Struthio camelus: one gene and its partner. The protein of the gene in region 2 purifies or fractionates together with the protein of the main gene of each other region. This does not show direct contact. Links are inferred from orthologs where the notes say so. Each region holds a gene or a part of one and is shown on either strand. Other genes may lie near its edges. The genes, in order: MIOS and DEPDC5.

The links.
Region 1: the proteins of DEPDC5 (region 2) and MIOS purify together in Homo sapiens (affinity purification with western blotting; 3 studies listed by BioGRID and IntAct, with this or other methods). This does not show direct contact. The link is inferred for Struthio camelus from reciprocal best matches to the Homo sapiens genes DEPDC5 and MIOS.

What each region holds. Positions count from the first base shown.
Region 1 is NC_090943.1:29,890,251-29,906,031, reverse strand, and holds the start of MIOS (GATOR2 complex protein MIOS), read right to left. Parts: upstream 5,955-15,781; 5' UTR 5,701-5,954; exon of another isoform or gene 5,590-5,700; intron 5,331-5,589; exon of another isoform or gene 5,227-5,330; intron 4,695-5,226; 5' UTR 4,636-4,694; coding exon 3,339-4,635; intron 3,125-3,338; coding exon 3,026-3,124; intron 2,061-3,025; coding exon 1,803-2,060; intron 502-1,802; coding exon 332-501; intron 1-331. UniProt on the Homo sapiens protein: As a component of the GATOR2 complex, functions as an activator of the amino acid-sensing branch of the mTORC1 signaling pathway. The GATOR2 complex indirectly activates mTORC1 through the inhibition of the GATOR1 subcomplex.
Region 2 is NC_090958.1:8,398,816-8,414,494, reverse strand, and holds the start of DEPDC5 (GATOR1 complex protein DEPDC5), read right to left. Parts: upstream 8,269-15,679; 5' UTR 8,137-8,268; intron 7,381-8,136; 5' UTR 7,259-7,380; coding exon 7,201-7,258; intron 6,426-7,200; coding exon 6,338-6,425; intron 5,610-6,337; coding exon 5,563-5,609; intron 5,072-5,562; coding exon 4,986-5,071; intron 4,185-4,985; coding exon 4,101-4,184; intron 3,399-4,100; coding exon 3,349-3,398; intron 2,653-3,348; coding exon 2,583-2,652; intron 1,833-2,582; coding exon 1,754-1,832; intron 828-1,753; coding exon 766-827; intron 1-765. Other genes in the region: protein PRR14L, read left to right, coding at 10,312-10,779, 13,272-13,353, 14,965-15,679. UniProt on the Homo sapiens protein: As a component of the GATOR1 complex functions as an inhibitor of the amino acid-sensing branch of the mTORC1 pathway.

The DNA of each region.
Region 1 (15,781 bases), on a different chromosome or scaffold from region 2:
TCTGATGTTTTAAAAGTTCCAGGTTGAATTTTAATAGATTTACTATATATGAAGAAGTCTTTTATAGTTCCTCTAAAAATTATATGAATTATACCTATATTTTGGCTGCTTATGCATCTTTTTATTTATTTAATTCGCTAATGCAATGCTCACTAATACTTCTTCTTCTGTTTAGAAGAAAAGTATTGGCCGTTATTTAGAGAAAATATTACACTCTGATTACTTCATGGAGTTCATATATAGCACTTCCAGTATATACATACGTGTGTGTGTGTGTGTGTGTGTATACACACACATTAAAGGATTTTTAACATAACAGAAATTTACTCACCAAAACACCATCATATGAACCTGACTCACTTGTCAGAAAAGCAAACATGGCACACAAGTAGGGATTGTTCAGTTGCAGTCTTAGAGTGCTGCACATTTCTCTCCAAAGTGAGTTCTTCTCATCTGTGTAGCCCGATAGAGCCATTGCTACTACATTAAGGTTCAGATCACCTGATTTATTAAAAACAACCAATGAAATAATATTCGAGTTTAGGACATAACAATCCAATTAAAAACATAATTGAAAGCATCATTTTGAAATAAAATATTTAGTCAAAAATGCAAGAGCAAACGATGTACAATTATCACTAATAATTTAATTATCACTAAAATAAATTTGCATACACTAGCATTTTTTAGTTTCTGCTTTAAATACCTTTGTTCAGGTTAAGCTAACAAATCTCAAAAACACAAGCCCACAAACATGACTACCCGAGTTATGCTTTCAGCAACATCACACTGGTTCTGGTGTTTTTAAAATAGTTTTCAACTGCTACATGTATCCCTACTACTATCAGAAAACACTGTCATTACCATAATTCATATCTACAACAAAAGGTAGGATCGCACATATAGCCATTACTTAATAGAGCTAGCTGGAGAATGACAATTGAATTTCATAACAACTTTAAGTTAATAAATTCCATTCTGTCAGAAAGTTTGTTTGTTTGTTTGTTTGTTTTAATTTAGAGATGACCAGTTTCCAGTCTGGACCTCTGAACCTTTCCTATGTAAAATACACACAGACATACATATATAGATTCCCTCCCCCCCCATTAATTAGTATTTATCAAATATTAAAAGAACCTTAATAACTCCTTTTGTGTTCAGAATCATACCTACCCACGTTAGTGCATATAGTTATTTTTGTTTCAGTATCAAAACAGGCTTTTATAAGAGAACACAGGTGGAAATCAGAATCGCAGACGTAACACTAGCAAGAAAGCAGAACAAAAACACTTCCAACTGCTGGCTCTAAAAACTTTAACTTTTCCCTCATACATTGTAACTCTACCCACATATTACTCCAAAACAAGTGTTTTTTGCAAATCCTGAAAATTTTATTTTAATTATTCCACAGCCACAGCACTGGCAGAAAGCAGCACGCAGCCAAACAGAATCAGATATACATGACATCTAACTAACGTGCACGCCATTAAAAGAAAAAAAAATTCCACTAGTGTAACACCTTTTTGGGGTATGCACCAATAGGAAATTCTAAAACACACAATCTATTTTAATTAGAAAGTAGAGCATACAACAATGCATTTTTAAACTGAGACTAAAGAAAGGAGTGAAAGATCAGTGTTTGTCAAATTGTCGGGCTTCAGCCCAACCACTGCCAAATTCAAGCAGGTATTTAATAAGACTGAAGGTACCTTTTCATACTGCCTTACAGAATTTTGTTTACAGAAAAAAATCTACTAAGATGATAGAGGACTCCAAAATAAAAGATACTAAACAATACACACCTTTTCCTGAGGAAGCACCTTTATTTAGGATTTGTATTGCTCGCCGTATGTCCAAGTTGAAAAGTGCTACAGCAGCAGCGCGCTCCCAATCTCCTTCCTGTTCCAATGAATTTAAAAAAGGTTCCACATCCAAGTCTGTTCCCTTCTTTATCCACCCACAGAGCTGCAAAGCCAAGGATCTCTCCTCACTGAGATACTGAATAATATCTGCCTGTCTATCCGATCCACTCCTGCTATGTCTGAGGTTCTCTGTTGTTCCTAAAAAGGGGAAAAAGACTTGAATCATGACTTAAATAAACATTTAAATTGCAATTGTAACACTTTGATTTCAATAGTAAAGCAGAGTACGAAAGCTGAGTATCATATTTTACTACTTCAAATTAACATTACTAGTAACTCAACGGTAAGGAGCAGCAGCAGCATACATAAGATTTTATTTTGATCTGCTAAAAATCACACCTCTAAACTTGACACACGTTTCCCACCAAGTCTTCTTCTCTAAACTCTAGGATTTTGGATGTTCCTGTTACCAAATTGATACGAGTGATCTGTGCGTTGACTTTGAAAATACAGAATACCCAGTTAAGCATGTGCTCTATCAGTTCTCTTATTCTCAGCAGGCATAAACATGCTAGAAGCTTCCCCAGCACTGAAGAGTTATTTTTTGCTCTAAGGAGCATAAATATTAATAAAGCATGCAATGAACACAGAAGAAGAGATTCAAATAACAGATTAAATTAACAAAAACTTCACTGAGCAAGAGAGGCATAACGTGATGCACAAGGGGCAATTATGACTTCAAAATAAGATAAGCTCCTTAAATAGTTAGATAAATGCATTTATTACATTAGCAGTAACTACAATAAGGACATTTTTCTAGAGCCATACCCTTATGTGGAACTTAGAAAAATATAACAAATTGTTATAGGAGGAACAAGCATTTTCAGTATCACAGTCAAAACACCCCTCTGAAATAGTTCAATTACAGATGTACTTCAAACACGAAGGATACTTTCTTTTTATGACTACTGACTTTCAAAGAACACCCAAAATTCTGGAAATTACTGTAATACAAACTGTCGAGTTATATATATTAAATCATAAACAAAAATTCTTCATTTCTATGTTTTTATATAGCCTCTTTTAATTTTTTTTTTAAATGAACCCACAAGTGCATCCTTGTGTAAATATGCTATAACATATTAAAGTTGGAACATTCTTACCCAAAGATGACTTCACAATTGATTTAATGCCAGCATAAACTAAGGGACCTTTGTTTCCTGTAAGTTTTTGATCCATATCTTCAGTATACTGCTTCATGAGTATTTTCATGTATAGGAAGCTTAATTTTTCCCCAAGCATTTGGAAAACATTTTTTTAAACTAAAAGATCATATGCTATTAACATACACAAAGTATTTACAGGATGTTGCATTATTTAAGACTTTCATGCTTTTCATATCATTGGTTTACATATAAAGGTATGTTACTTCTTCAGAATTAATACCATAAAATAATACAGTGAAATAAAGGATATAATGCAGCGTATACCAAAGCGATTTCAGCTGAGGATCCTCATTTCCAGCTAGGAGGTGATTTCTCCACACTTGTTCAGTGTCAAGACCATATCTTGATAGAGCTCTCAGCCGCATTTTGGTAGCTATGTCTTTTTCCAAGGAACTAGCCTTTCCTTCTTCTGTACATTCATATAAATGTCGCCCACAAGCCCACATTAAAGATGTTACTGGACTCCACGCAAGAGAAATCCTTTCAAAAACTGTGAAGTCGGACATAGTTCTATTGGGAGTCACTACCACCATTCGATTTTGACTTGTGGGATGCCAAGCAAATGAAGCAATGTAGTTTTCACAGGGTTGGACACTTCTTTCAATGATTGTCGGCTCAGTTTCATCTCCAATAGGTGTAGGTGTATGCTGCATGTCATACAATCTAATGATATTACTATCCCTTGTTAAAGTAGCTAACAGTCCAGTTCTTGTTGGACACCATGCTACTTTTGTTAGAGGTTTTGGTTGCTCTGTCAAGGTCAAAACAGGCTTTTCAAACTTCCTCAAATCCCATATGGCAACCTGACCTTCATAGAAAGAAGCTACACGATCATGGAAATATGGATCGACAGTCACTCCCTGAACAGCCTTGGTATTTACAAATATTTTTTGGCTTGTGTTCCTTAGATCAAAGATAGCAAGATTTCGGTGCATGCCAGCTAAAAGAAGCTTCTGATCCCGTGGAAGCCAACAAAGAGAGAGACAAGCATCGTTCTGTCCTAATTCATAAAGCGGCTTTGTTACTACCAGTCCTGCTTCTGGATCTCCTGCTGAAAGTCTCACCTTCTCTGTAGCAACTGCCGTCTCTGGGGCAAATTTGCTACTAATATCCCAGATCAATACTGAAAAGTCAGCCCGGTGTTTATCTAATCCAGCAGCAAGCCAATTACTGTCTAGTGGATTCCACGCTAGAGTATTACATTGTCGTGCATGTTTGGGAACAAACTCTTTGCCGATCAAATCTTTAGATTTTGAGTTGTGATCTTGACCAAGGCTAGTAAGTACCACTCGACCATTGGCCTGTCCAACAGCAAGAAGACATTCAGGATCGTACTTTGGATACCAAGCCACACATTTCATATACGGTGTATCTGAATTTATGGACAATAACGTAGCTGTAGTTTCTTCTGATAACCGCAGGGACCCTGCCTTCAGTTCTGAACTTACAGCAGATTCAATGTGGTAAAGACTTAATTCTGAATCACATACAACAAAACGGTCAACATGGTGTGGGGCCCAAAGAATATCAGGTTTGGAGCCACTCATATTTAGGGTAAGTTTAAACTCTTGTAGGAGGATTCAGGTGATATCCATTCACATAGAAACTGTTGAGAAAGTAATTTTTAGCAATGTTATCAAAAAAACCCTCAAACCCCTTCATAATCAGAGATCATTCTTAAACAAAGAAGAGTAAGGCTCTGAATTACTTTTAGTCTAAGGGCTAAACAAACCTTAAGCGCTCTACACGTTACATCACTTTCCCTACAGCATGCTTTGTTTTTGCTGGACTATACCTCCTGAGAAACCAACATAGCCATCTACAAAACTGACAACAGGGTTCAGTGTGTCTACAAAATCCATGCCAGTATTACATCATTATTATACCAGGAAGAAAGGATCAACTGAAACGTGATGTGGCATGATCCATGAGTGTGCTGCTGGTAAAGAGCCACACCCTAGAACATGTATAAGAAAATTTTTCTGCCTAATTTAAGTGCACTGACAGAAATTAGAGTCTGCCTGTTTTCTCTGAAGCCTAAAAAGGCTTACTCTCTTTGAACATTTGTAGAGGAATACAACTTTCCACTCCTCATCTTATTCTACTGTTCCTAATACTACTTTCTGCACCAACACTACCTTGATTTTGTTGATATGTCGTGGAGAGGCGTTCATAAACTCACGCTTATGCTAACTTGCATTTACATTTTCAGCAGGTGAACGTCCAGACTAATTACATGTGCCTACACACAAAAAAAAGGATCTCATCAATCCCATAACCTTTTAAACTTGGGAGAAATATTTAGCAGACGGGGAAAGTATAAGAAACAAAGCACTACTTCCTTTCCCCAGCCTCCTTTCGGGGTCTGCGGGTTACTCTCCCCGCCCTCGCTCTCCCGCGGCTCCCCAGCCGGACTCCCGAGGGCTCCAGGGCAGCGCAGGCACCCCCCTCCCGGAGCCCGGAGCCCGGCCCGGCCCCGCCTCCCCGGCGCAGCGGCCCACCGAGCGAGGACGCCGCCGGCGAGGCCCGCCGGGACACAGCGGTGGCGGCAACGGAGCGGAGCGCCACCCTCCGCCTCGCCCCGTCCCGCCTCGGGCGCGGCAGCTGCTCACCCACCGCGCGGGGCCTCCGAGAGCGCCGCCGCCGCCGCGCCACCGGCGGGGCTGGGACCGCGGCCCAGTCCGGCCCCACTGGCCCAGCGGCACGAGTGGGAGGCGCACAACGACTTCCGGTTGCGGGGGGCAACGGGGAAGAAAAGCTCGTGCCACTTCCGGGGCGGGCGGGCGAAGGGAACCTCCAGTTTCGGGCTGCGGCGCTGCTGTCTCCTTCCATTGGTCCAGCGGAAGCGCCGCCCCTCGCGTGCCGCGAGGCGGGCGGCGGCGGCGGCGCGGTGGGCGGTGCCGAGGCGGGAGGAGGCGGGGCCGTGCGCGGAGGCGTCGCGGGCGGTGTCTGCGGGGGGCGGGGCGCCTGCGGAAGCGGCGGTTGATGAGTTGTGTGAGGTGGTAGCGGGTCCGGGGGTTGCGCGTGCGGCCCTGAAATGGCGCGGAAACGGCAGGTTTGGGGCAGTTCGCGGTACCCCGGTACAGCGGTGGGTGACAGTGGCGTTGCTGAACGAAGCGGAGGCTCTGAGTTCCCTGCCCCTGAACAGACACCCTCAAAATGCCCAGAGACCGGCCTGTGCAGCGCCCGCAACTGACTTGGTTAAAACTGAAAAGCTTGGGGCGGGGGGGAGGGGTTGTTTTTTTCCAGTGAGGGCACCAGTGAAGACACAAAAATTCTTACGGCTGAGTGGGGGTTGCCCCATGAAGGCAGCATAGCTGGGAAGGAGACCATTTGACACCCACTTCTTTCTTTAATTCGTTGAAATACTCTTATTGCTCAGGGTAACGTTGTTCAATGTCTTTATCATAACTGGAAGGTGTGCGTTGAAAAGTAGGCCAGTGGCAGAGGTGGGAAAAGGGCAACAGTGGCAAGGATACCTAGATTTTACAAGTCAGTAGAATCAGTTAGCAAGTGTGAAACAACTACACGGTCTTATTTACTGAAAAATGCAACGGATGTGAACTGAGATGTCATATATAAAACCAACCAGGAAATTTTATTCAGTTTGTATCCTGCTGTTGCCTGTTTGCCTTGCAAATGGTTCTGCAGAGTCCTTCGAGCACAGAATGGGGATGTGACATAGGCTTCTGGCAACAGGCGTTCTCCCAGCTTCTGCCTTTTCCAGGTGCTTCTCAGTAATGGCAACGTAGCACATACAGACTTACTCACGTGCACATGCAGTAAATCCAGTACTTCTGCAGACATGAAAAGAAAGTTCTCCATGGTTGATAAATAGAGCTTATAAAAAATTCTGTCAAAACTTTTCCACGTGGGAAGGTTGGGGGGTTTTCTAAGTAAAATTTTATTTTGCTATGCTATAATTTTGCTTTCCGTGCAAGTAATTCTGTGACATATTAATGCAACTGAAAATTAAATATTTCTGCTCCAAAGGGTGACACAGTTGAGTTGTGTTTTATATTAGTCCTTGTCTGTAAAGCAGATGCACCACAACTCAAAACTTCTTTTCTGTCGCCAATATGGTAGAGGAGGTGCTGAATATGAGATGTCCAGGCCAGCTAGAGAATCTACTTGTGTGGTCAGAAGATGGAAGATGGCAAGTGACCTAAAATCCCTCTGAAGTACCCACAGTGATGTATCTTTGAAGTTGGAGTTCTTCAGAAAACCAAAACAAGCCCAAAAAGTTTGGACATTTTCTATGTGGAAAAATATTCTCCTGCCAGTACTGTCAGTTTATACTTATGAATACAGGGCTGATACTAGAGGGCTTGCAGATAAAGGCATTTTAAGAGCCAATAACTCTTGATGTCTTCTGGCAGAATATTAGATACACATTTTGAAGAAGAAACAGTTCCTGGAACAGATATCAAATATGTGGTATTATTCTCTACCACTGGAACTCTTTAAATCAACTAAAAGAAATGTTTTATTGTATTTACATATTTTATGGATATAGTGCTGGAATCAGTTGCTGAAATTTTGTCATGTAATACAGGAGGCCCTTTTGCCCTTTCAATGATGCAATCTGCTTCTCTTCTCTGTTTCTTTTTTTCAAACTTAAACAATATAATTATACTCCTTAGCGTACTGGGCACAGGTAGTGTGTAGGGTGCTCCAGAATAGAAAGTATATTCTTTATCTACTGTTGATGATGGTACTTTGAGCCGGCCATCCCTTGTCAAGTATTTTTCAGTGCATCAGCAGGAAAAAGAAGCATCTTATGGCCAAAAAAGACGTAAGTGCCGACAGTGGTTATTGATAAGCAGAGTTTGCATGTATAAATCTGGTAATTGAATTTAAGAAAGCACTGACAATACTTCATAGATTCTGTCCCTTTAATAAATGACTTTTTATTTCACCCATATATGTAAGTTCGGCTAAATGCCTAACCACTAGATTCAATTTTGATTAACAAAACGTGAATACAGTACCAAAAGGATTCATAGGCAAGGTAATCTTCATTATAAGAAGAGAAGCTATTCATTTTCATATTGGTCCTATAAAAACATATTCTCAGGTCACCTTGTCACTTGAAGTTTGGTCTACATTTTGCTGCTTAAATGCATTGAAAGGTAAGAAAATAAATAGTTTAGAGCATTTTTCACAAATGAAATTATCCGAGTACTGAACAAAAACAGCAGAATATATAAATGTATGTGTTGCTCTTATTAATTCTAGTTGTTATATTACTGTTTTGTTTGGTGTATTTTTCCTTTTTATCTTCTCAGAAAAATATTAATAGATTTTCAGCTGCTGAAAAAATACTCAGAACATGTTTAATAAATATGTTTATTATACTGATAATTTATTGTGTAATTCTAATGATGATATTTGAAATTAACTACTCTTAGGCTGTTGGCAGTTTTTGAAATTAGTATATTTGAGAATCTGTATTGAAGAAATTAGTTACCACATTGACTAGTATTTTTTATTTTCCAAACAATTCTATATACCCGGTTACTAAAAGCTCATAAGGTGTGAAGACTTAGAATTTCACATGTGAACCAGTGCCTCTAAAGAAAAAGAGAATGTACACTCAGCATTGTAAACCTGAAAGTAAATCCACATATAAAGTTCAGTTTAGAAATATGGATTGTAAATTCAGTTATTTGTTAGTAACAGTTTTTAAAAAAATATTTTCTGTTTCTGCTAGTAATACTACAGTAATAATGGAGGTATCATCTGCCTATCTTAGAACTGAAAGTTAGATAGTCTTCAGAAAATATAATGAGAAAAACCATGTGTATTCAGCCTGTATTTTCTCTCAAAGAGCTCAATAAATGAGCTACAGCTGAGATTTTACTTGTTGTTGTGATTTCTTGCATGTATTTAATAAGTTGTCACCATTTTGTTTATGTTATTCTTTTGAATCTGCTTCTAGATCCAAAATGTGCTCAATGGAATGCCCAGTTCTGCATATACAGTATGTGCATCTATATATTTGCTTGTTATTATCAAAGTGTGATAGATACTTGCTTTCTTTTAAAAGGAAGAGTAAGTCATCTGATTCTGGATCAGAATCACTATGTAGTTAAAACATTCAGCCTGTTGTTTTATGCTTTTGGCTGTCTTCACGTACCAAATGGTTTATGGACAAACCAGAAAGAGACTACAAAAGCCTAATGGTCTGATACAGAATGATAATTGTCCAGATTAAAACAATTTTATTTGTTTTTTTCAGTAGAATATAATGTGCATATTGCAGTGTGTTCCACTGTTTATTCCTGCATTTATGTAGTTTCAGATGAACATAGATGAAACTTAATCATTATTTTTCACATTGGGAAATTATGACAATGCTCATCATTTTTAGTAAATTAATTTGCTGGGCAACCTATTATGTAAATTTAAGGCTAAGAGAATTTAGGTCCTTGGTATGAGTGGTTTTAATCAAGCATGGATGACTTGTTGTGATAAATTTGTAATGATGTAATTTGGAGCAGAATTTCATCATTATTACTTTTTGCAGAATGAGGTAATTTAATGGGACAAAGGAGGAAGGGACAAAGCTAGAAATGGTCCAGTGAGTTATCTAAATTCTAAGGCACAAGTTTCTGCAATGTTCATTGATGTGTCTCTGCAACTTTTTATTCTATTACAGGTGATATGTATCTCTTGGATACAGTATATATCTTGGACAGTTCAGAAAGTGTAAATAATGGATTGTCTGAAGCACAGAAGAGAATTGTTTACAACTTACATGACAATATTTTTTTGATGAAACAAGTTAAATCTCAGAAGTATAATGTCAAACTGGCAAGTATGCTGTTGAGCAGCACAGTCAGCCTTGATCATCCCTTTACAGCTTGGAAAAATGTGTAGAATTTTAAAGACAAAATCAAGAGTATGAGTTTTATTGGCCATGGCATCTATTCCTATTAGGCAATTTCTAATGCTGCTCAGCTCTTTAAAACTGAAGGTTGTAACCAAAGTGTGAAAGTGGCTTTTTTAATGACTGATGGTGTGGATCCCCTAGACAGTCCAAATGTCCAGGGTATGGTTGCAGCAGCTAGAAGTTTTAGAACACTTTTTTTTTACCATGGGGTTTTCTAAGAAAAGGGACAATGCAGAAAAACTACATTTGATATCTTCTAATTTTCTTTTACCTGTTCTGTGCCTGGATGATCTTCATCTGACGGATGAGATGACAACAAAGTTAGTAAGTAACTAGCAAGGCTACACTTTCTCCTTTTCTAACAGTGACAATTAAAATGTACTTTGGTAGGTAACAAAGCAGGAGTTTGCAGGCTCGTAAATGAGTGGGAGAGGAGATGTTTCCAGTTCAAGGGTCAGGACAAGCAAGCTACACTTGATACACAGTAATTCTCACACTGGGTCAGTTCTACATTTCTTATTCCTTCAGTCCGTGGTAGTTTGTATTGCTAACAGAAACATACAGCGGTAAGATAGCTGTTTGCATTTTTAAAGAACTAGATTTGCAGGGTGTGTTGAAAGTGAATTATTTTTCTGTAGGTGCGCAAGGCCAAACTTCAGATGTTTTAAATTTCTGCGTAATTCTGGAAGTCTGTGAACTTTCCTAGGCAAAGGAAACATTACTGTGTGCTGCGACCACTCATCACTGCTGCCTCTCAGCATATGCAAAATTCTCCAAGTGCTTAGCGTCAAAAGACTTGATACAGACAGATCTTGCAACGGATCCCCGTTTAACAGACTGAAGATACCCACAGTTAGTTTGTCCCTATTCTGAACATACCTAGCTCTGTGAAAGCACAGCTAGCAGTGGGTACTACTATTGTGCCCAAGAGTCTAGTGGAAAGTGCACTGGTGTCCAGATTTCATATGTTGGTGAGCTACTTTGCTTCTGAAAGGGGCTTTAGAGGGGTGTTATGCCATGGCTCCTTCCGTATCTGGTGACTGGAACTCCTGCTGTGTGCAGTACGGTTGATCTGAAGAAGTGCCATGTGTCTTGACATGTCTCACAAGTACAATATTGATTGTGTATGCATTACATTCCTATTTCTCACAGACCATCCAAAACAACATGATGAGAAACAGTTATCAGCTCTGCAACAACTTTTGCAACCTGGTTGCATGTGCCCTGCTTGCCACGTTTTGTGAAGGCGCTCTCAAGGAGTGATTGTGGGCTTTAGTGATGTTTTGCTGAGCTGAAGCATTGGCAGCCCACTTCTTACTACCATCTTTCCCAAGGAATCTGTGATCCAGCCCCTGGCCCATGATAAATGACTCATAGTCCACTTGGCAGCAATTGCATTAAAAGAAAACAAAGGCTATATTAGAACTTAAGGTAAAAAGTTCAGGTACAAGGATTGGAAACATGGGAAGAATAGAGTAGTAGAGCTCATAATAGAAACACAGCAAATATAAACAGGTTGTTGCCACCAGAACAGTTCGTCTGTCCTGCAGCCTTCCTCAGCTATGAGGGAATTTGGAAAAGACGGCACTGTGAAGTTGGCCACAGACTGAATGAATTGTTCTGGTGGTCACTGCGCTGTAGATCAAACATTCTTTGCCTGGCATATTTATTAAGATAACAGTAATGTGGGTTTCTACTCTTACTTTTCCTGATTCCCAAGTGAATGCTGTAGGTACTGGGCTATAGAGCTTTCTTGGGTCAACTGGTACTTTATTATTTACACAGGATAGAACAGCATCATAGGAGCTGCTCAGGAATCCTCACCCTGGTATATCTAATTCTTAAGCATATTCATCTCAGATCTGGGAAACCTGAGTTCAGTAAAAAGAAGGATTTTCTTCTAAGCACTAAGCTATTTTAACAGGAAGAAGAGGAGACACTCTTTTTTTTTTTTTTTTTAATTTGTGAGGAAGGACTGATGAGACTTACCCGTCTAAAAAAGACATCATGATTAATGATTCTACGTGGAGGCATTCAACTAACTCTTTTTGTAATGTAAGTCTTAAGCTACGTTTCCCCTCAACTTATTTTAGTCGGCTAAGTGATTTCTTGCTCACTGTGTAGTCTTTTAGCAGTCCTATTCTTAAGGCTGTATTATGTTCGTAATCTAAACAGTGACAGGGAAGTCCCAGGCATGAAAAACTCAGTTATTTATGCAGTTAAATTGCTAGAATGATCCTTGTCATGGTTTTGGCCCAAACCAACTTGTAATTTTACAAACAACTCCTAGGCATTGTTCAAAAGTCAGCACAACACAATGACCAGTTTCTGTTTTCATGCAGCCACTCTTATGAAGGCTAAGAAAGCTTAACGGTATGATCACGGGCTCTTTCTTGACAGATGGCCACAGCAGGGCTTGATAATGGCTGTGGGCACGTATAATTTACCAGTATGGATGTGACCTAATGTTACCTTTTAGTCTGTAGGGACCCTGGGTGCCTAATATATATTTAGTTTCCTAACACGATTCTTACTTACTTCTTCATATTGACAGTATTACAGGGTTAGATGGAATGGTTCAGCTGGGGAAAAAAAGAAAAAAAAAGATTTAATGTCTGTGCTCGGGCAACCAACATCTGGAGCAAAGCACTGTTCTCCGTCATTCCCTGGTACAAATATATGGGCATAGCTGTCTGTATCCTGATTATGACCACAGTTATTCCGTGAGTTGTGTGACTGTAAAGAGATTCTCCAGGCTGTGAGATGAGTCCCTGCTGCCCGACATCACAGGAGTGCTTGTCTGTGCCCCCGAGAAGAAACTGCAGCTAGCAAAGCAAGCTCCCACCAAGACTCTGCTGACGAGGAGTATTCCCAGCCAGTTCCTCCAGTGAGCTCCCTGGGCAGATCTGTGGGAATATGTTGCTTCACAGTGGCCCTCTACTTCTGTGGAAACCATATGAATATGCCATATGAAACCATATGATGAGTTGTTATTTCCCTCAGTGTTTGATGGGCATTATACCAAAGGGAAGTAAAAGCTTTATGAGTCCTAAGATAAAATATGAGCATTTTATGGCAAAGATAGGAAATACACATTACAACAAAAATAAAGCATAAAACATTTTGCATATATTAAACAGCAGTATACTTTATTGTTACTTATTTATTTATATGCCCTATCTTGGAGACCTTCGACCCAACTTTTATGAGGCAATATTTTCTTCTCTCCTTCTTAATTTTCCAATATACAATCAGAAGTTATTAATTTCAAATAGTCTGGAAATTTGATGCTTTTGATGGGGCTTTCCAAAAAGGCACCGAATGGGAATCCCATTTTTTTTCTGGTTCTCTTGTCACTCTTACACCAGCATCACACACAGCTTTAAGTTTTTCCAAAACATCAGTTTACTTTTTTAAGTTAAGTTTTGAGAATGACTTCAACAAGCCCACTGATGCTGTCTTTTTTTCTTTCTTCTGTATTAAATGTTGCAGCCTGCAGAAACTGTCTATGTGGCTTTTTTGTTTCTGTTTTATGGCACTAAGGCGTATCCTGTGCTTCCTCTCACTGTGGGAAGCGAAGTCCATCTGAGAAACAAAGTCCTCTCCCTTGTTCATAGAGATATTAATTTTAGTCACATTTTCTAAGTTGCTAGATGATCTGCGTTTCACAAATATAGCAAAAATGATGCAATCAGGATCTCGCAACCCATTTTCAGATTTCATTTGGAGTAAGAGCTACAAACTTTGCCATCTTCAGTCATGCCATGAGTTTACTAACCTCGTGTTTGCTAGCATCTCACAGGAGGCAGGCCATCAGTCATACTTCTGTCAACAGCCGTGTTGGCAATGATCAGGTGGCTAGGTTTAAGGTCATTTTGATTTTTCCAGTCTGTGAACATTTTTTTGTCTTCACTCTTGACTAGTGTTGTTAGGTACTGTGTCAATCCACAAATTATCTTGAGCCTAGCATATGTTACGTGACTGCACATGTCACTGCAGTCTTTGATGCACTGACGATGCTTGACTTATGCATTCTTCTTACAGGATTACCACTCTCAGGGAAGACTCACAAAGATACTGATGATAATTGTGCTCGTTTAGTCTTCCTTTTTACATACATGCCGTATGGCACATGTAACAAGCACCTTTCATTGTCATCCTGTCACTGCTAGGTCAGGCTTAACTACTTCCATTTTAACTCTTCAGTCTTGTTTGCTGATTTTCAGAATCTTTTAAAGGAATAAAGTAAAGGTATAAGGTATGTCAAAATCTGTTCTCTCACTGTTCTAGACAATTAACTCCCTACTAAGAAGGCATGGATCAGAGGATCTTCATAATTTAAGAAATCTTAAAATAGATATCTGAGACTATTATTAACCTTTTAGGAAATGGTATATGTAGGGCATTGATATAGGAACATATGGACCTTTTCAGCTACTGATAGGGAGAAATATGAAAGACTGAAAAACTAGAAATCTGATATTTCTTGCATATATTGTAAGATAATTCAGTTTACAGTTATAAAAGTATAAATTTGGAGTAACTCCACTGAAATAGTAAAATGTGTTGTTACAAACATTTCTAGTTTGCTCTGTTAGGTCTGGTTGTGGACTGACTTACCAGGTCTTTTACCCAGCTATCTCCTGCTCCAATGGAAAAAAGTTCCCTGAAATATGGTTCCTTTGTGCATTGCAGTAATGCAAGGGGCTACAAAGAGCTGTGCAGCTGTACAGCAGTAGCTTAGCTTCATTTAGAATTTCTTAATGAGACAATCAGAGCATCTCTAAAAGCTGCAGATTAGATATTTATGAAGATGGTGTATGCTGCTCATGCAGAAAGGATAGCAGTGAGCATTTTTAGAAACAAAAGGAACTCTTGATGCTTTCTCTCTACAAGTCTTAACAGTATCTCTCTCATTCCCTTTCCTAAATCTTTCCCTGTGTTAATTTGTGTATATTGTTCAGTGTGATACTTCAATGTTTTATTTTCAGTTTACAGTGTGTTCATAAAAGGATATAGTGTGCCATGCTTTCTCATCTTAGTGAGTCTTATATGTGCAACATTACTGAGTAACTATTAATTATTGTAAAAACGATGTAAAGATCAGTGCTTTTCACTTTATTTGCCCTTTACCTTGAAAATACTGTAACCTGTGAAAGCAATCTGGTTAAAAAAAAGATTTATCACTTCTAATATCAAGCCCATATATTTTCTTCCTTTTCCTTTTCAGGAAGACTTACTACACAGGTGACTTTTATAAATTGTGACTGCTATCAGATATCGGCATGACAAATTACCCTATCAGGGTCATTCAGCTGTATCAGAAGCCTACCTTTTGCTTTCTCTTACCTGAAAGAATTTTTTACATTGCTGTCAACATGCAGATACCTTTTGATACTGTTGCTAATCCACATCTTCCTACCTGGGTAGTTCCTCCTGCTTCAGTGTGTTCATTCATGTCATTTGGACCACCTGAGAAATAAAATGCTACTCACGGGCAGGAAAGGGTGACTGAAACCTGCCCAAATCTGTCCCAAGCATTTCTGTAGGATCATTGTTTGTTTTAACTAGTAAGAATGAATACATTTGGCTGCACAGTAAAAGCCTTTTCTTTCCAAAGTGGAATAGAACTAGTATTCTAACTATATCCTTTTTTGCCTTATTAGAATTCAGCATTTTATTTAGTTCAAAAGGAAGAGGTAGATAATCTTTGACTGTTCAAAATGCTTGTTTTATTCATAGAGTGTGACAGAGTTTGACGCTAGTTACAGAATTTGGGCTTGTTTTAATGGAGATTT
Region 2 (15,679 bases):
AGGATTTCAGGTTCTTGCCATGTCTGTTATACTTCCAATTTAGGTTGCAGATTTCATATCTGCCTCATCTTGGGTATTGCTATGCTTCTCATTTAAACCAATGGCAGTTTGGTGGATAGCTCTATGGCTGAAAGGGTGTCAGCCTCCAATGCCACCCTCCCTCTCCTCTAACGCAGCATTGCTGACAGAGCTGTACCTGGCTCAGAGCCAGGCCATGCACTGACACAGGAGATGACACTTGGTTTTTCAGTTAGAAGACACAGTGAGGCTTTCTGCTTGTTTTTTAAAACACCCCACTTTCAAGTAGCTTGCACTTCCAGTGGCCCATGTACTACAGCCTGGACCCCCCATATTAAAAGATGGCAGCATTAACCAGATTACACACAGTACCAGGGAAATATGAGGAACTGAGATGACCTGGAACAAATAAAATCATGTAAATCACACTTGTACATTATTACACAAGCACAAGCACAACTACATTATACATTTGATGACATCAGTCCAGTCAGACCCCCTGCACATGAACAAATCAATTGCATGATGCACATACAGTAGATGCAACAGATAAGTATTGGAACTACTCAGCACATATAATTTATCTGCAGACCTGCAGTAACCACTCTTCTGATGCTGAGTCCTGTAAACCATAGCACTGACTGACAGCACCTGGGTCTTCCTCAAACCGGCACATCAAAGGGCTCATTGTTTAAGATGACACTGACTTGCTCTTTCAAAACAGGATGAGCTCAAGCAGCTATTTACCTTCCATTTTGTGAAGAGGTCAGCAAGGAAACCATTCACAGCTTTCTCAAAGTACAGGTCCCCTGCAAAGTAAACATCTCTAAAGCATCAAACAGCAGCAGTTACTTCAATCGTACACTCATGGATCCAGGTAAATTTAACACAGAGATTCTAGGATAATTAATTTTATTAGAATCAGAGCAGAATAACTTGCTGTGTGCCTACTCAATGTTAATATTTCTGAGGCAAAGATGACAAAAAAGGATGAAAAAGCAAGGCCATGCTTCAGAGGATGTAAACAAGACTACTATATTGTCAGAGGGATCTGACCTTTACATTCATTATTCCAACGTGTTGGCAACACGCTGGGAAAGCATCTGTACTATCTTTCAGAGATACTGATCCCCTGCTCAGTTTTGAATAGCTGCCCAGTTACATATGCCTAAACACATGGTCAAAGGAAGTGGTAAAGGGGTTTATTAAAGAATTAAGCCAGAAAAAAATAGGACAATGACACAGATAAGTCACTCACACTCTTAACTGCTAAAATTTTAACAATTCTAGCTGACTCTACCAGGGCTAACATAGGGTTTTTGCTTCCTGGCTAAACCATAAGTCGAGAGAGATGTAAAACATCAAAAATCTCTTTGCACAGGGCTCCCATTCATTTCTAATTTCAGGATTCGCACAGGCTTGCACCTGCCCTCATCACTCAACACAGACAGATCCACAGGAAAACCTTTTCCAGGGTTCATGGCCCAGCTCGCCCCCTTGAAGTAGTCACCGAGATAATAGCACCCAGGCCTTACAGTAAGAGTAGAAAACTATGGAATACTCAGGAGAGGTAAAGGCCTGGCACTACCAGCCAGATTCCAAGAGGGGACCATAGCGCAGCTCACAGAGCAATGCCTTGGCCAAAGGCAGGACGTTTCAGTTTTCTACTAGTGACAGAAAAGCTTGCCGCCATCTGCATTTGCAGCCAGGCAGCAAGTCAGTTACACCTACGTACCATAGATATCAAAATCCCACATTTCACAGCTCATCTGGATAAAGATATAAACCATAGCTGAAGTGGAGCGGAAGACCACCTAGAGAGCAACAAAAGATCTTTTTAAAAACAAGGTATATTCACTAAAGGCATAAGAAGGACACTAACTAGAAGAAACTGTTCAGATCCCAAGCAACGGCTTCCCTAACAGTCTCCAGGGATACAGTTTAAGGAACAATGTTTTTGGCAGAACTATCAGATTACGCAGTTCCTGGTCCCGCCTCACCAACTCCTAAGCACTCGTTCTCAGCTCTTGAGGCTGAGCTCTTGCATTTTGTTAGCATGAAGAATTGGACAACGAAATAGATCGGGGAACTGATCCAGCTGAGAACTAATGCAGTAAAAGGGTTCCCCCCTGCCAAGACAGACCAGTTCTTTGATCTCCAGTTCACTACACAGTGGCGTTAACACTGCTGCCAGCATACTACAAGGAGCAGGAAAGAGACGGAACAAAGTGACTGATTGCCATTGCCACAGAACGCATAACTGGGGCCAAATTGCAGAAGTTAACTAGAGAGGGACTTATACGATACTCTGCCCCCTGTGTCATGGGGCACTTCCTCTCTAGGGAGTTGGCATTTCAACCGCTGAAGTAATTCCTAGTGCTGGCAGTGCGGAAGGGAGAAACTGTATCAATTACTCATTCTCTTGAATTTGTTACCATTCTTTACCTTACAACACAGACAATTCAAACGATTCACACAAATCTGCAAACAAGAGGGAATTACAAGAGGCCTAGCAAGGAAAAAAAGGGAAAAACTTCCTTTCCCCCACTAACCCAAAATCTTACCCGCGTGTCCTCACTGATGTAGCCACAAGTGACTTTCTCACTCTTAACCCACAGTTCACCTGCTTGTGCCCTGAAAGAAAAACAGGGAAGAATATTTACTAACCAGAATGAATATGGAGATTAGAAAAATCAATCTTTGAGCAAATTAGGGATGTGCCAAACTCCGCATTCCAGGATGACTTGGAGATAGTATAAGTGTATTTGAATAAAAACTGATCTTTAATCCAAAAGATGTCAAAGAGCTGTTTTCTGCTGCATCCACATATCTCCTTGACCCTTTGTCATCTCAACAGCAGCCAGAGTAACCCCCTTCTGTATACTATTAAGCTTTAGGAGGGCAAAATACTCTAAGAGGTGAAAGGTAAATTATTTGGCATTCACAGAGGCAATGAGTACGGTCACCTATCCTATCACAGGTTTCTTCTACTTCAGATCAGGTAAAACTCTTCCCTCATCTCACAGTACAGACGGAAGTTTGTAAAAGAGTAAGAGAAGGAAAAAACGTGGAGGATTTTTTAGAGAAGAGTCTCACATTGGATAGTCCGGACTCACAGATCTGAAGTCATAAGTAATAGTAAGCACTCAGAGGAATAGCAGCAGTAGATTGTGTTCCTCACAATATATTATTTCCACTGACAGGTGGAAATGCTAAAAATATACAAGTTTAGAGCATTTCTCTTTATAGTTGTCTGTTAAGTCAGAGATCTCTCTGTTCCTCTGTAATTTTTCTATATCTAGGAACAAATCAGAATAATAAAGCACTCACCTGATACCCGCAAATTCAACTTTTTGGGTGATATAAGCACATGTGCTGACCTAAGAAAGATTAGTTTTAGGTGTTAAAAGAACAGCACACTCAAAGTAGATTGATTTGCAAAAAAAAAACACACTTGAATACCAGACTCCTGCCATAAAAAACACGAGGGCCGCTGACCATAATTGCAAATAACTTCTCAACCTACGAACCTCCAGATGGGACAATGGAAAATAGTCTTGTAACAGACAGGAGCCAAGCTGAACAACAGTAATAAAATAATCATTTGCCTGGGGAACTGGCCACAGAGCAACCACAGACTGCATTTCAGAGATGCAGAAAAAAAGAATTTTGAATAGTTGCTTAGTAAGTGATTTTGTCATAGAACAGCTGCTTTAGTGTGCTTCTGTCTGAAAAACATTTAGATTCAATTCCTTCCAAAGGTAGTAAATTAGTAAAATTCAGAACCGAAGGAAAAAACTCTCAACAGTGATTTCAATGTCCGAGGGACTAATGAACGTTGTTGCCACAGAGTGTGAAATGATAGGACTATAATTCTTTCCGTAACATATCTAATATGCATTTCTCCCACTTTGATGTCCCACTTATGTAGTAAGCGGCTGTGTGCTACTCAGGAGCGGCTGACATTTGTCTCTTCCTCAGTTTTCTGTATTTTGTAAAAAGCTTGTTTTATTTTACAGTGAGCAAGGGAAAAGGTACACAATCTCCTGCACCCTACACAGTAAGGCAAGCAGAGGACGTACCAAACTTTTCTTCAGTCGCCACATATCCCCACGCCCGATGTACTGATCTTTGAAAGTCAGCTCCACCAAGTCCAAGGTCACCTCCTGGGAAATGGAAGAAAGCTTAGCTTCTACTCATTGTTTCCAATGCAGTACCCTTCAATCTGTTCTAGTCAGGACCAAATGTTACTTGCTATTCTAAAGTAAACCAATAATCCTAACAGACACAAGACAAAAAGGAAATCCCATCAGAACAACTGTCAAAGCTGCACGCATACCTGGAACCCATGCGAGCTGCAGGATGTTGAATAACGTGATCAGAAAAAGCCTCATGACTATGTGCTATGAGTCCCAGTGCTGATCAGAACCACAAGTAAAACAAATGATTTCCACTGTTCATGAAACAAAGGAAGCCTAGCTTCCTGTGGATTTTTGTCTCGTATTGAATGCACACTTTGACTGAAGCTCTTCTGATAGTTGGGACATTCACAAAAGATGCCTCTTATAAAGGTTGTCTGGCACCAAAATATGTGAATTCATGCTACGGCTTTTCTTTTGACTGGGCCACTTACATAGTCTCTTGCCTCTGCATGATTATCCTGAGACTTCAGGAATCTAATTATCTTTGAGATTTCTACATCTCTGTCAAGGTATGTTGAAGCTGATCTATGGACTTCGAAAGGAGAGGGGGCAATGGGGACAGAAGAAAAAGACACATGAAAACTAATAGTGCAGTTGCCCAAGGCTCTTTTTCTTACAGAAGACGACTAAAAACCTTTTAACTAAAAACAAAAAAACCCACAACAAAAAAAGCCTTTATTCAACACCACTGTAGACAGAAATCCAAAGGGCTCCAAATTAGCTACATGAAGGGGCAGACAGAAACAAAGTTACAAAGCCACATACCTTTGGGTCAACGACATTCACATGGACATCCTGGTACGGCCGCAGTCGGAATACCTGTGCAACAGTCTGATCCACGCTTATAGTTTCTGCCACAGAAGAAAGGACAGACAACAGAGAAGTGAACATCCCCCCAAAAGTTTCCAGGTGGCTTAAAGTGCCAAATCATTACAGTGAAGTTCTCATGAAACATTTAGGACCTTAGCAAAAGACAACAGCATCTCTCAGCTACTGCTAAATAAAGATTTGTTAAAATCAAAGCAGGGGAGATAAACTTTAGCCTGAAATTATTCCTGCAAGAAGACGACAAACAGTCAGTCAGAGAGAGCAGAAAAAAAATTTAAGGCTAAAAAGCCAATAATTTTGTTTAAATTGCACCTCACATTACCCAGCCAAAAATTGATTTAAAATTGGCTATTCACTTCCTGATAAAATAATAATTGTTCCACTCCTAAACAGACAAAGCATTGATTTTTCTCACCAAGTTAAAATATATGGCATTACTCGATCACTGCTACAGTCCAATCACGTAATCTTTGTCTATGATCTTACTATGCATATTGTAAGTCTAGAGGCTCACCTTTCTGCAAATCTTCCTTAAGTGACTTCACTTGCAGGAGCAGGGGGCTAGGACACAAAAAAGAAAAAAGGCAAAAAAGTTGAAACATAAATCTACTCTGACTAAATCACTCTCTCAAAACAATTTTGCAAAATTGAGCACGCGATCAGCTAAGCATTTGCAATACCACATTAACAAACTTTTATATTAATATTTTCTAAAAACATCACACATCATCCTCTCTGCCTGACACCCCTTCTTGTTCTTTATACCTATTATAACTATAAGGTACCGTTTAGCTAAATGTGATGCTCTAACAGGGAAGATAAGCCACACAAACTTCTCAGATCATCAAACAGCTACACTCCTACTTTTCAGACATAAGCTGCAAAATAAACATTTTCTTTTAAGGAGGTTTACGTTTTTGCAGCCAGATTAGGAAATTTTCGTTTTGCCTAGGAGATACTGTAGAACTGAAGAGCAATCATTAGGTAACAGCAGCTTTATCAAGAAGATAAAGACGATGTATATTTCTCCATATTCAGGTGCTACTTACCCTACAAACAGTCAGCAAACTAGCATCAAACACAAAGAACTCCACAAACTTTAGGGAAAGACCTCTTGCTATAGTTATCCTCTTTACTCTTCTTCAGGAAGAAAAAACGTAACAACCTCCTGAAGCAAAGTTATGAAATCAAGCAACCAGTAGTCCCTCAGTCTAGAGGCTACCGCACACGAACATGCCCTTTCAGTTCCCTAACCACACTTGACTGGTAACAGCACAAAGAGAATTCACCTGTATTCATCATTGGGATGCGCAATTTCCACAACATCGCCCAGCTTGATTTGAAGAAATACTTTAGGATTCACCACCAGTTCATCATCTACAAGACAAAACATAAATGAATGAGGAAACCTGCAATGAACAAATATGTATCGAACACAGACATTTTTTGTACGCACGAACCTGCTCAACATTAATATACTAGTCCCAGATTAACACATTAGCAGCACACTATATTCACTACATGATAGGGCCCCTATTCAGCCACTTCAGTCTGGCCAATCTTGCAGGCAAAAATTTTTCTTTCAAGTCGCAGAACATTCACAGCAGATTTGTTCAACAAAAGAGCCTGCTTTAGTTAGGCAAGCTGAGTCTTTCTTTTTTTTTTTTTTATTATTTCCCATTTAGCGAGCACTGGCAGGAAGGCAGATAGCTAGAGAATCTACTTAGCAAAACTTTGTTAACATGCTATGATTTGGAGCCCAGAAGTAGGGAGCAAACAAATAAACATTGTTCCTAGTACACAGGAACACAAAATCTGACCCTATATGCATCCACATGCAGCAATAACAAGACACCTCTGTCACCCTTATTAAGGGTGGCTGAAATACAAGGTCAGAAGAAGAAAACAGATGAAAAGTGACATAACAAAAGCAGAAGAGGTAGAATAAAGCCATTTTATTTTACAGATGCAATCATAAATTTTGTTCTGCTGTATCTTGCTACTGAAAAGAGCTTTCCACACTTTGGCTGGCAATACTGCTCGTTAAAGTTCTACTCTTCTTGTTGTGTTAAAAAGATCAACAAAGCAGGTCACTGCTTTCAAATAAGGAAGAAAGTGCAGGTCTCACTGTTATGAGCCAGAAGATACTGACCACTGCCTCCAAACCCCTTCTTATGTATGACGAGCTTGTACACCTTGTTGGTTCTCATCTTGAATTCCAGTTCTTCTCTGGAAAGAGAAGGTCCCTCCCACCGTGGGGGGCTCTGTCAGCACCAAGGCGCTTCTCAGTTCAGCTGCTTTGAGTAAAAACAGTCGATGACATCTTGCAGACCTAATATGTAAATGGAAAAACGAACAAAAAACCCCACAGGCCTCCTGTTATTACAAAATTATTCCTTATACTCTGGGAACATGTCTGCTATTATGAAAGAACAACATTTCTGTGAAGAATTATTTTTCAGAGAGTCAGGGATTACGTGAAGGAAGGATGTTCTGTCAGCAGGACTGCCAGGGGAACTCACTTAGGCAAGAACACCACACGTGAAAGGCTGGCATGCCACAGAGGTTAATAAATTTCAGAGTAAAAGTTTAGCAAAGATCCCTCTTCTACCAGCACTCCCATCAAAGGGGTAGCATCACTCTCTAAAACTGGATTTTGTCTACTTCGAGGATGAATTTCTGAATCTAATGTTTTAACGACATAAGATCAATACTCAAACTTATGCCCGCAGCTGAGGGATCATCTCTTTTTGTCACTGCGCTGCACGGTGACTACAAGGGACTCCACCTCGCACACCAGAGGCGGCTGCGGCCAGCAGAGGGCCGGGCGCGCCGGCGCTGCACGCCTATCGCACCGAATACTTCCCCTCCGCGCACCCTCCGCGTTTTTCTTCCTGCTCCCTTTATTTAAAAGAGGGAGACTATCTCTATGGAGGAGCTTTACTTTTGCCATTTACTCTTTTTAGAAGTGTACTAAAACTGAAGATTATCAGCATGGACAGAGGTTCTCTTCCTAACGCTTACAGCCACGTTGTTAAATTGAAATACGAGCTCTTCTAGTTACAACACGCACTTGCGATGACCGTACCCGCTTCCCAAATCACAGCGCGCATCAGAGGAGCAACGGAGGCCTGAAGCAGGTTACGGCACCAAGCTCGCAGATCCCCTTTTGCGGGTGCCCGTTCAAGCAGCGCGCTGAAAAGACCCCGGGGGGGGGGGGGGGAGACGGGACGGACAGACGTTTAAGGCTGGTGAAAGCAAAGCTTTACAAGACCTTCACAATGAGCTCTGCGGCGGGTTTTAAACAAACGCCCATCCGCCGCGCGTCACCCCTGGCGCCGAGGCGGCGGCCGGCGAGCGGAGCGCGCCAGGCCCGAGGCGCAGCGCGGCCCGCGCCCGCCCGGCGGGGCCGCCCTCACCGGGGCCGCTCACCCGCAGCCCCGGGCGGGCAGCAGCGCAGCGCAGCGCAGCCCCACGGCACGGCGGAGCGGAGCGGAGCGGGGGAGGAGCGCAGGGCCCTGACCTCCCGCTCCCGGCGCCGCTCCCGCGTCCCCCGCCGGCGGCCGGGCGCTGCGGCGGCAGCGGCGGCGGCGCCGCGACGCGACGCGACGCGACGCGACGCGACGAGACCCCTCAGGCAGCGCTCGCCGCTTCCGCATCCGGGGCCCGCGAGGCCGCCGCGCGCGCGCGCCCCACGTGACGCCCAGCACAGCGCCGAGCGGGCTTCGGACCTGCGGGCGGGGGGACGCTCAGGGCGCCTGCGCGCGGCCGCGCAGCCCCGACGCGGCTCGCTGGCGGGGCAACGGCAGCCCGCGGTCCGGGGCGGGGCCGCAGCTGCGCCCGCCCGGGCCGGGGCCGGGGCCCGGATGAGGAAGTGATGCGCGCGGTGGAGGGGGCGGGAGGGCGGCGCGGCGCGGGCAGGAGCGGGGCCGGCGGCTGCTGCCCGCTGAGGTAACGGAGCGAGGCGCGGGGCGGCGCGGGGGCCCCTCGGGGGTCGAGGAGGCTCCGCGGCTCGGCCCCACCACCGCCGCCGCCACCGCCGGGGCGCGGGTAGCGGGCGCCGCCGGGGCCTCCCGTGCGCGGGCGGGGGCGGCGGGCCGGGCCGGGCCGGGCTCGGCGCGGCGGGAGCGGGCGGCTGCGCCGTGCCCGGGCTCGGCGGGAGCGGTGCGCGGCGCCGGGAGCGGTGCGCGGCGCGGGGCGGAGGGCGCGGAACAAAGGGGCCTGCGGGAGCGGGGGCCGCCGAGGCGGTGGTCGCCCTCAGAGCTGGCGTTGGTCCGGGAGTGGTCAGCGTTGGGGGAGAGGTGGCGGGTTGCTAGGGGTGTGTGTCTCGCCTGTAGGGCGGTAGCGCCTGGCCAGCGCCCGCCAACCCGCTCCCCGGCTGCTTTGGGGGGCAGAGCAGGGAGAGCAACCCTTGGCTGATAAGCCTGTGTCTTTATAAACCGTGTTTTGCCCGAGTAACCGATGCTTCTGAAAGCGCTTACGCATGTATCTCCGTTAGAGGTTTGTAAACTTCGAAAGTACTGGTATCGCGGTGTTTTCAGAGCAGTGTTTTGAAGCAAGGCTTTAGGAATTGTTGGTCGCGCTCGCAGCGTTTGCGTCAGGTTGGAGTTCGAAGCCACCTCCACGGTGTTGTGGTCACAGTGGTCTGTACTGTCACTGTCACAAGAGGAGGGTACCTACTGAAGAGCTTACCTGAGCTGAAGATGATAGCAATGCTTATGTTGCGTGGAAAATCAGTAATAACGTGATCTCGTCCTTCATCCTTGTTTACGTGAGCCAAACTACAAGGCACAGCGTATGATGATTTGTCTTATAAGGCGTTTTCTTATAGTTAGGAAAGGTAGGAAGAAAAGCTTCTTAAAGATCAGAAGCTTAAGAAAATCACAGGAAAATAAAAGATGCTGTAGCTAGGGAACAGGTTGTCTAACGTACGCCCTAGAGATTCGCTCTGTTGCCTGTTTTCTCCATAAGATAAGGCTGTATCTGTTGGGAGACGTTTGAATGTGAAAATAAGATTTAGGACTATGTTTGTCCACGCTCTCTTCTCTTGTTCTTGAAATATTTGCTTAAATACTCAAGTGCTTTTCGGCTCCCCTTACAAATGTATTTGCAAAAACCCTTCTTGAACACACATGTTTGCATCTGGAAGAATGAAGCTTTTCTTCTAAGGCAGAGATTACTCCCATGTATGTTGATTTAACATTGCGTTTATTTTTAGGATAAACTGTGAAAAGCTTCGGATAACAGGTCTTCAACTGCCCTGATGCTATCATCTGGGGTGGAATCCCTCCTTGATTCTTCCATGTCTGCTGTAGTAGAGGAATTGTACACTGGACTGCCAGTCAGCATCTCCACTGAACTTATGGCTGTATCGGAGCCTAATGTTGGATTAGATGCAAAGTCTGATGTGCCAACAGCTGTGCTAGCATGCAGGGACAGTTTGCCATCTGAGCATCATAGGACTTCTGGAGTAGAAAACTTGTCTCAGAAAACAGAGAATTTGAGTGATATGCCCAAGGGGATTTCTCATGGGCTAGCAGAATCCCTTACTGAAGAATTACTAAAATCGGGAGACCTTGAAGAGGATGAAGAAAACAAAAAAAGAAACTCTAGGAGACTAGACTCTTCTACTGGTGGATACCAGAAAGAAGATAAAGAGGGACAAGATGCTGAGGAGTATCTTGCTGAATGCTGTGCTTTAACTCCTGAGGAAAGTTGGTGGTCAAAACAAGTAAGAGAATAGAAAAATGGATCCCTGCATGATATTTTGAACTTAGGGTTACAGTGACTAGGGAGAAGATTTTGCCCATGTGGTTTCCTGTTTCTTATTTGTGTCTTCTGGCGTATGTGTCATTCTTTTGATTTTCATGGGTTCGGTGAAAGCTATCACTTTCACTTATCACTGGGTAGAGCAACAGTATTTTAAAACATCAGGCTTTTCTTTTCACTTTTGTAAATACCATTGGAACAGTATTGGGCAGGATGTTACAATACAAAGAAAAACTGAGGCAGGTGACCAAAAAGGTAGAGAAAAGAAACATCTAAAAAAGCTTGCCTTGCCCAATTTGCATCTCCTATGGGTACAGCATAATCTACAGATATCATCCCCAGTAAAGGCACGAATCATTAAATAACTATTATTTTAGTCTGGTAGTAGTATTACAGTGCTACAAGGGCTCCAATTTAGGGTTTCAGGGTTTCTTTTTATCTAAAAGTACAGATTCTTCTTCATGCTTAGATTTTTCATTTATAATTAGACAGGAGATTGGTGTCGGTTTCCTTTTTCAAAATAATAAGGCTCAAAATAATAAGGCTCACATGGTCGTTTTCTTTTTCCTCTAGCAAACACTGATGATAAAAATGTTATTTCTGGCAAAGACTTGTTAAATATGAGCAAAGGTAGACTGGCTGTATTAATAGTATACTAATATTATATTGGAAAAATGTGCCAAAGAATAGTCTATTAAAAACTGAAAAATCTCAAAACTTTCTATTAAAAATTGCACATTTTAGAGCAACAAAAAAATTTGAAACACTAAGAAATAAGTGCAGGGGAAGCTTGGTTGAAGGTCAAATTTATAGGGTAAACAGTTGGTTTGCATTTTGTACAGCAGGCGGCATTTCTTTACACTTCTTAGATAAAATACAAATTTTCCTTGTCTCCCTTAATGTTGTTGTTTTGATTACTGGTATCAGAAAATATTTCACTTATGAGTGCCTCAAAAAGTTACAGAACTGTATGTATGATTACTTTGCAGGGAAAGCAGTATATGAAATTTTAGTGACTCTTTGATCAGTTCTGTTTAGTTTGTAAAGATTTGTCACAAAAAGGAGATGGGAGAGAAAAAAGTGTTGTGACCAAACATACATCAGCTAGGTAATATCTGGATAAGATGCATATTTTACAGTTATTACTGGAGGTAAGAGCTAAAATAGTTTGCCTTTGTAACTCTGGAATTTGTTACCTATTTGATTTACTAGTAAATCTGTGAGAACAGAATTCATTAAATTTTCCATAGTTGTTCAGTATTCCAAGATGAGCATTCACATATTTCAAATGTGCAGGAAGTTTGGAGTTTTTTGCTGAGCAGACCAAGGTCACCTCTTCCTGGTTCTTACAGGCCAAGGGAAAGATGGTAAAAGGCAAGTTCTAATAAAAATTGTGAAGAGCATGCTTTTCATCAGAGGTTTTAGCATCTGATAAGATCCCTTATTCCAACTTTGTCACCACCCCTACCTCAACAATTTTGTTTGACTGAGTGACCTAGACTTCCAACTCAAATACCACAGTCAGTCTGGGTTAACCATTCGGTAAGCGCTGGATCTTTAACAACTGTAAAAACTTTTAAATACACATATGAAGAATAAGTATCTAGGCCATTCTGTAACCCTTCCTTTCTGAATGAGTAAGAAGTCTTTGCAGTGAATGAATTTGAAAATACTCTGTCTGGGAGGTGACTTTTCAGTTTCATCCCTGATCTCTCTGTCCACGTAAGAGGAGAAATCAGTTGCTATTCAAAGGTTCACAATTCTACACAATCCAAAGGTGTATTTAAGGAAAATACATTGATAACATACCTTTTCTTGAACTTGTCTTCTAATTCATCTTCAACACTTCTAGAAATATAATAAGAATTCAGGTATCATTCCTGTAGCCCAACTAACCAGAAAACTTAGAAGTTATATTAATAGCAGTGTAAACTCAAACGGCAGAATGGGAAATGCGGTAAGGGAGGTAGGCTTTTGCTTTTTTATTTCCTCTGCATGAGAGGTTTAATTGAGGAGATAGATATACAGGATTTGGGAGGTGAGGTAGACTTGTAGGCTGGAATACTTTTCTGTTTCAAATTTGGGGCGCTTTCTGTTTAATCCACGTAAATCTTAGCTGCTTGCATGGCAAGACTTCACTGCCACTAAATACAGATCTTTTCTGGATGCATCCCTGTCTCATGGTGAGATGCTAGTGATTGATAGGATCAGAAAGAAAAGAGAATGCCCTGTTTGAACTGTTTTCAAGACCAGGCTGCCTGTATTATCAATCTTAAAAACAGGCTTATTTATACAAATTAGTTCTTTTTCCCCCTCCCTCCAAGGGCTGGTATGTTCTGAGGTTTCTTGATAGGTGTTCAGAACTAACCTACTTGAGCAGGCAGAGTTCCTGAAACATGCGAAAAGTTTCAGAAAAATTGATCCGTCTTCACTGGTGTTTCTGTCTTGTTTCAGGAGGAGCTTCACTTAAGTCAGCATGGGGTGAAGTTTTCAAGCATCTATTGCACTGAAATAGCAGGATCTCTGAAGAACAAAGGTGCACATTTTAGTTGTATATCTGTATCTACTCCCTGGTTCTCTCCCAGATCCCCTTTCATTGGTCAAAATTAATGAGTGATTGTTGGATAGCTCATTTTCTTTGTTTTACAGTAGAAACAATTGTCCTGCATAGTTAGAACTACATGAAAAGTTAATTTTCTGCTTTTTCATGACAGTATGTGTACTTTCCCAAAGACCTTTTGCGAACAAAATGTGTTTTAGTTGTTTCACTGGAAGACTTGTTTACCCCTGGGCAGAAGTTCTTGTTGTTGATAGCAGATGTTTTATGCTTCCTCATCTTTCAAAATTGGATTATGTGAGAGCATTTATCATAAAGTGTGAAAAAGTAGGACTCGTGTATTTTCTAATGTTTTAGAAAATGAAAACGCAGCATTCAAAGGGAGAGGGCAGCAATACTAGTTCTTAATTTCGTTATGATCTGTGATCTTCTAGCTCCAAATGCGTTGGTCACTTTATCTGCATCTAGTGATTATTTTCCTTCTGTCTCATGCTCTACTGCACAGTGAGCAAATGATGTACTGACTTTTTTTTTTTTTTTAACTGGGATCAATTATCAACTGTATTTTACCTTCTTATTGCTTAGTTTTTGCAAATTAAGATGGCGAGTTCTCATAGCTTGGTATATTAGATTAGTTTACGTTTTTAGCTCATGTTAGACCTTACTAAGCTTCTTATTCAACAAAGGTAGCGTTTTGAAAATATTTGATCAGTGTACTCATATGATGATTCCAGTGGCACATGATATATGTATTTACTGCTGTTTACTGAAATGAACCATAAAACAAAACCAGAAAAAAACCTCAGCTTTCCACAGTACATCAAGCTTGTACTTACTTGCTTGAAGGCATGCCATCTGGTCTTGATCCTTAGCTGAAAATACAGAAAAGATCTTCTATAGTCTCGATGACTAAAGTTTTGACGATGAAGACATTCTGCTCTAACTCTTCTATTTAATGTTCTGTCATTTTTTACTTAGTAGCTTCTTCATGATTTTACAGAGGTGTTTAGTAATATCCATAATGGCTTGGACAGGGTGAGATCTTCATTGTCTTCCTGTGGATCAGTTATTGACTGGAGTGCGCTCAAGGAAGAAGAGAGAGAAATGGCCGCTCAATTCACAGCTATATTTCTAGGATAGAACAGATAACTCAAAGTACCCAGTTACATTGAGCTTTGATGTTCCAACTAAGCATAATGATCTTAGACAGGACTCTAAATGTAGTGAGCCACAGGACCTGTATTGCACCTTGCCCAATATTACAGGAATCTGAAAAATACAGGGTATGGGATGTGATCATGAGGAATGTCTGTATTGAAAAGTATTGCATTTGTTACCATAAGGTTTTGGTAGTTTGTTTATGGGTTTGGTTTTGGGGGGGAGGAGGGTGTTGGGAGGAGGGAAGAGTGTTCAGTTGGTTGGGGTTTTTTTGAAATTGTGGCATAGTTGCTAGCAACAACTCTCATTTAGTGTTGATTATCAAAACTTTTCTATACACAATGTTCTATATAGTGCTAAAAGGAATGTAGTAAGCTGAATGTGTTCTGAATTTAGAGTATGGTACTGACTTTCTTTACTTTTTGTGTGCAGAAGAAAACCCAGCAAATGTTCAGGTGACAGCTGAAACTCTGCCAAAGCCTGCTGAAGAAGCACAAGGTATGAAGGCTGATGGGACTAGGATATTTAGTAAAGCAGGATACAGGAATGACAGAGTGAGTAATGATCTTCCACCTGAGAGCGATGAGTGCCCAGATGTAGGCACAGTCATGGCCAGTGATGAGGTTTCACAAACCAGCATGTTAGTTTTTTCAGAGCCTTATACAATCAGGAACGTTGAATCGGCCACGGAACATTCACAGGAAATAAATGAATATGATGAGTCAAAAGCCCGTACTGTCATGCCGTTGACAACAGGAGGTAACGTTGTATCTATTTTGGAGACTAGAGAAGAAAAGCTACCCAGAGAGAATCCTGTTGATGAATTCAATACATCACTTGCTATTTGCCAGACCTATCAGCAGGACGAAGAGAACAGTGCTCATGACTTCAGTACTGTTCCTGTACCTAATAATGAACCTGACAGGCTGTCATCAATACAGAGTTCTGGCACACTCTCCACAGAAAATTCTGAAGTTTCATGTTCTGCTCTGAAAGGCACCCGTTACCTGGACTTCAGAAATACGCCGCTAGAAAGCAGCAGTACTGCAGTCTGTGGAATTAACAGTGAAAGCCAGGAAGAGCATCTTCCTGAAAACATGGAAAGTCAAAGTTGTCATGATCATGGAACTGGGTTTCTAGAGAACCG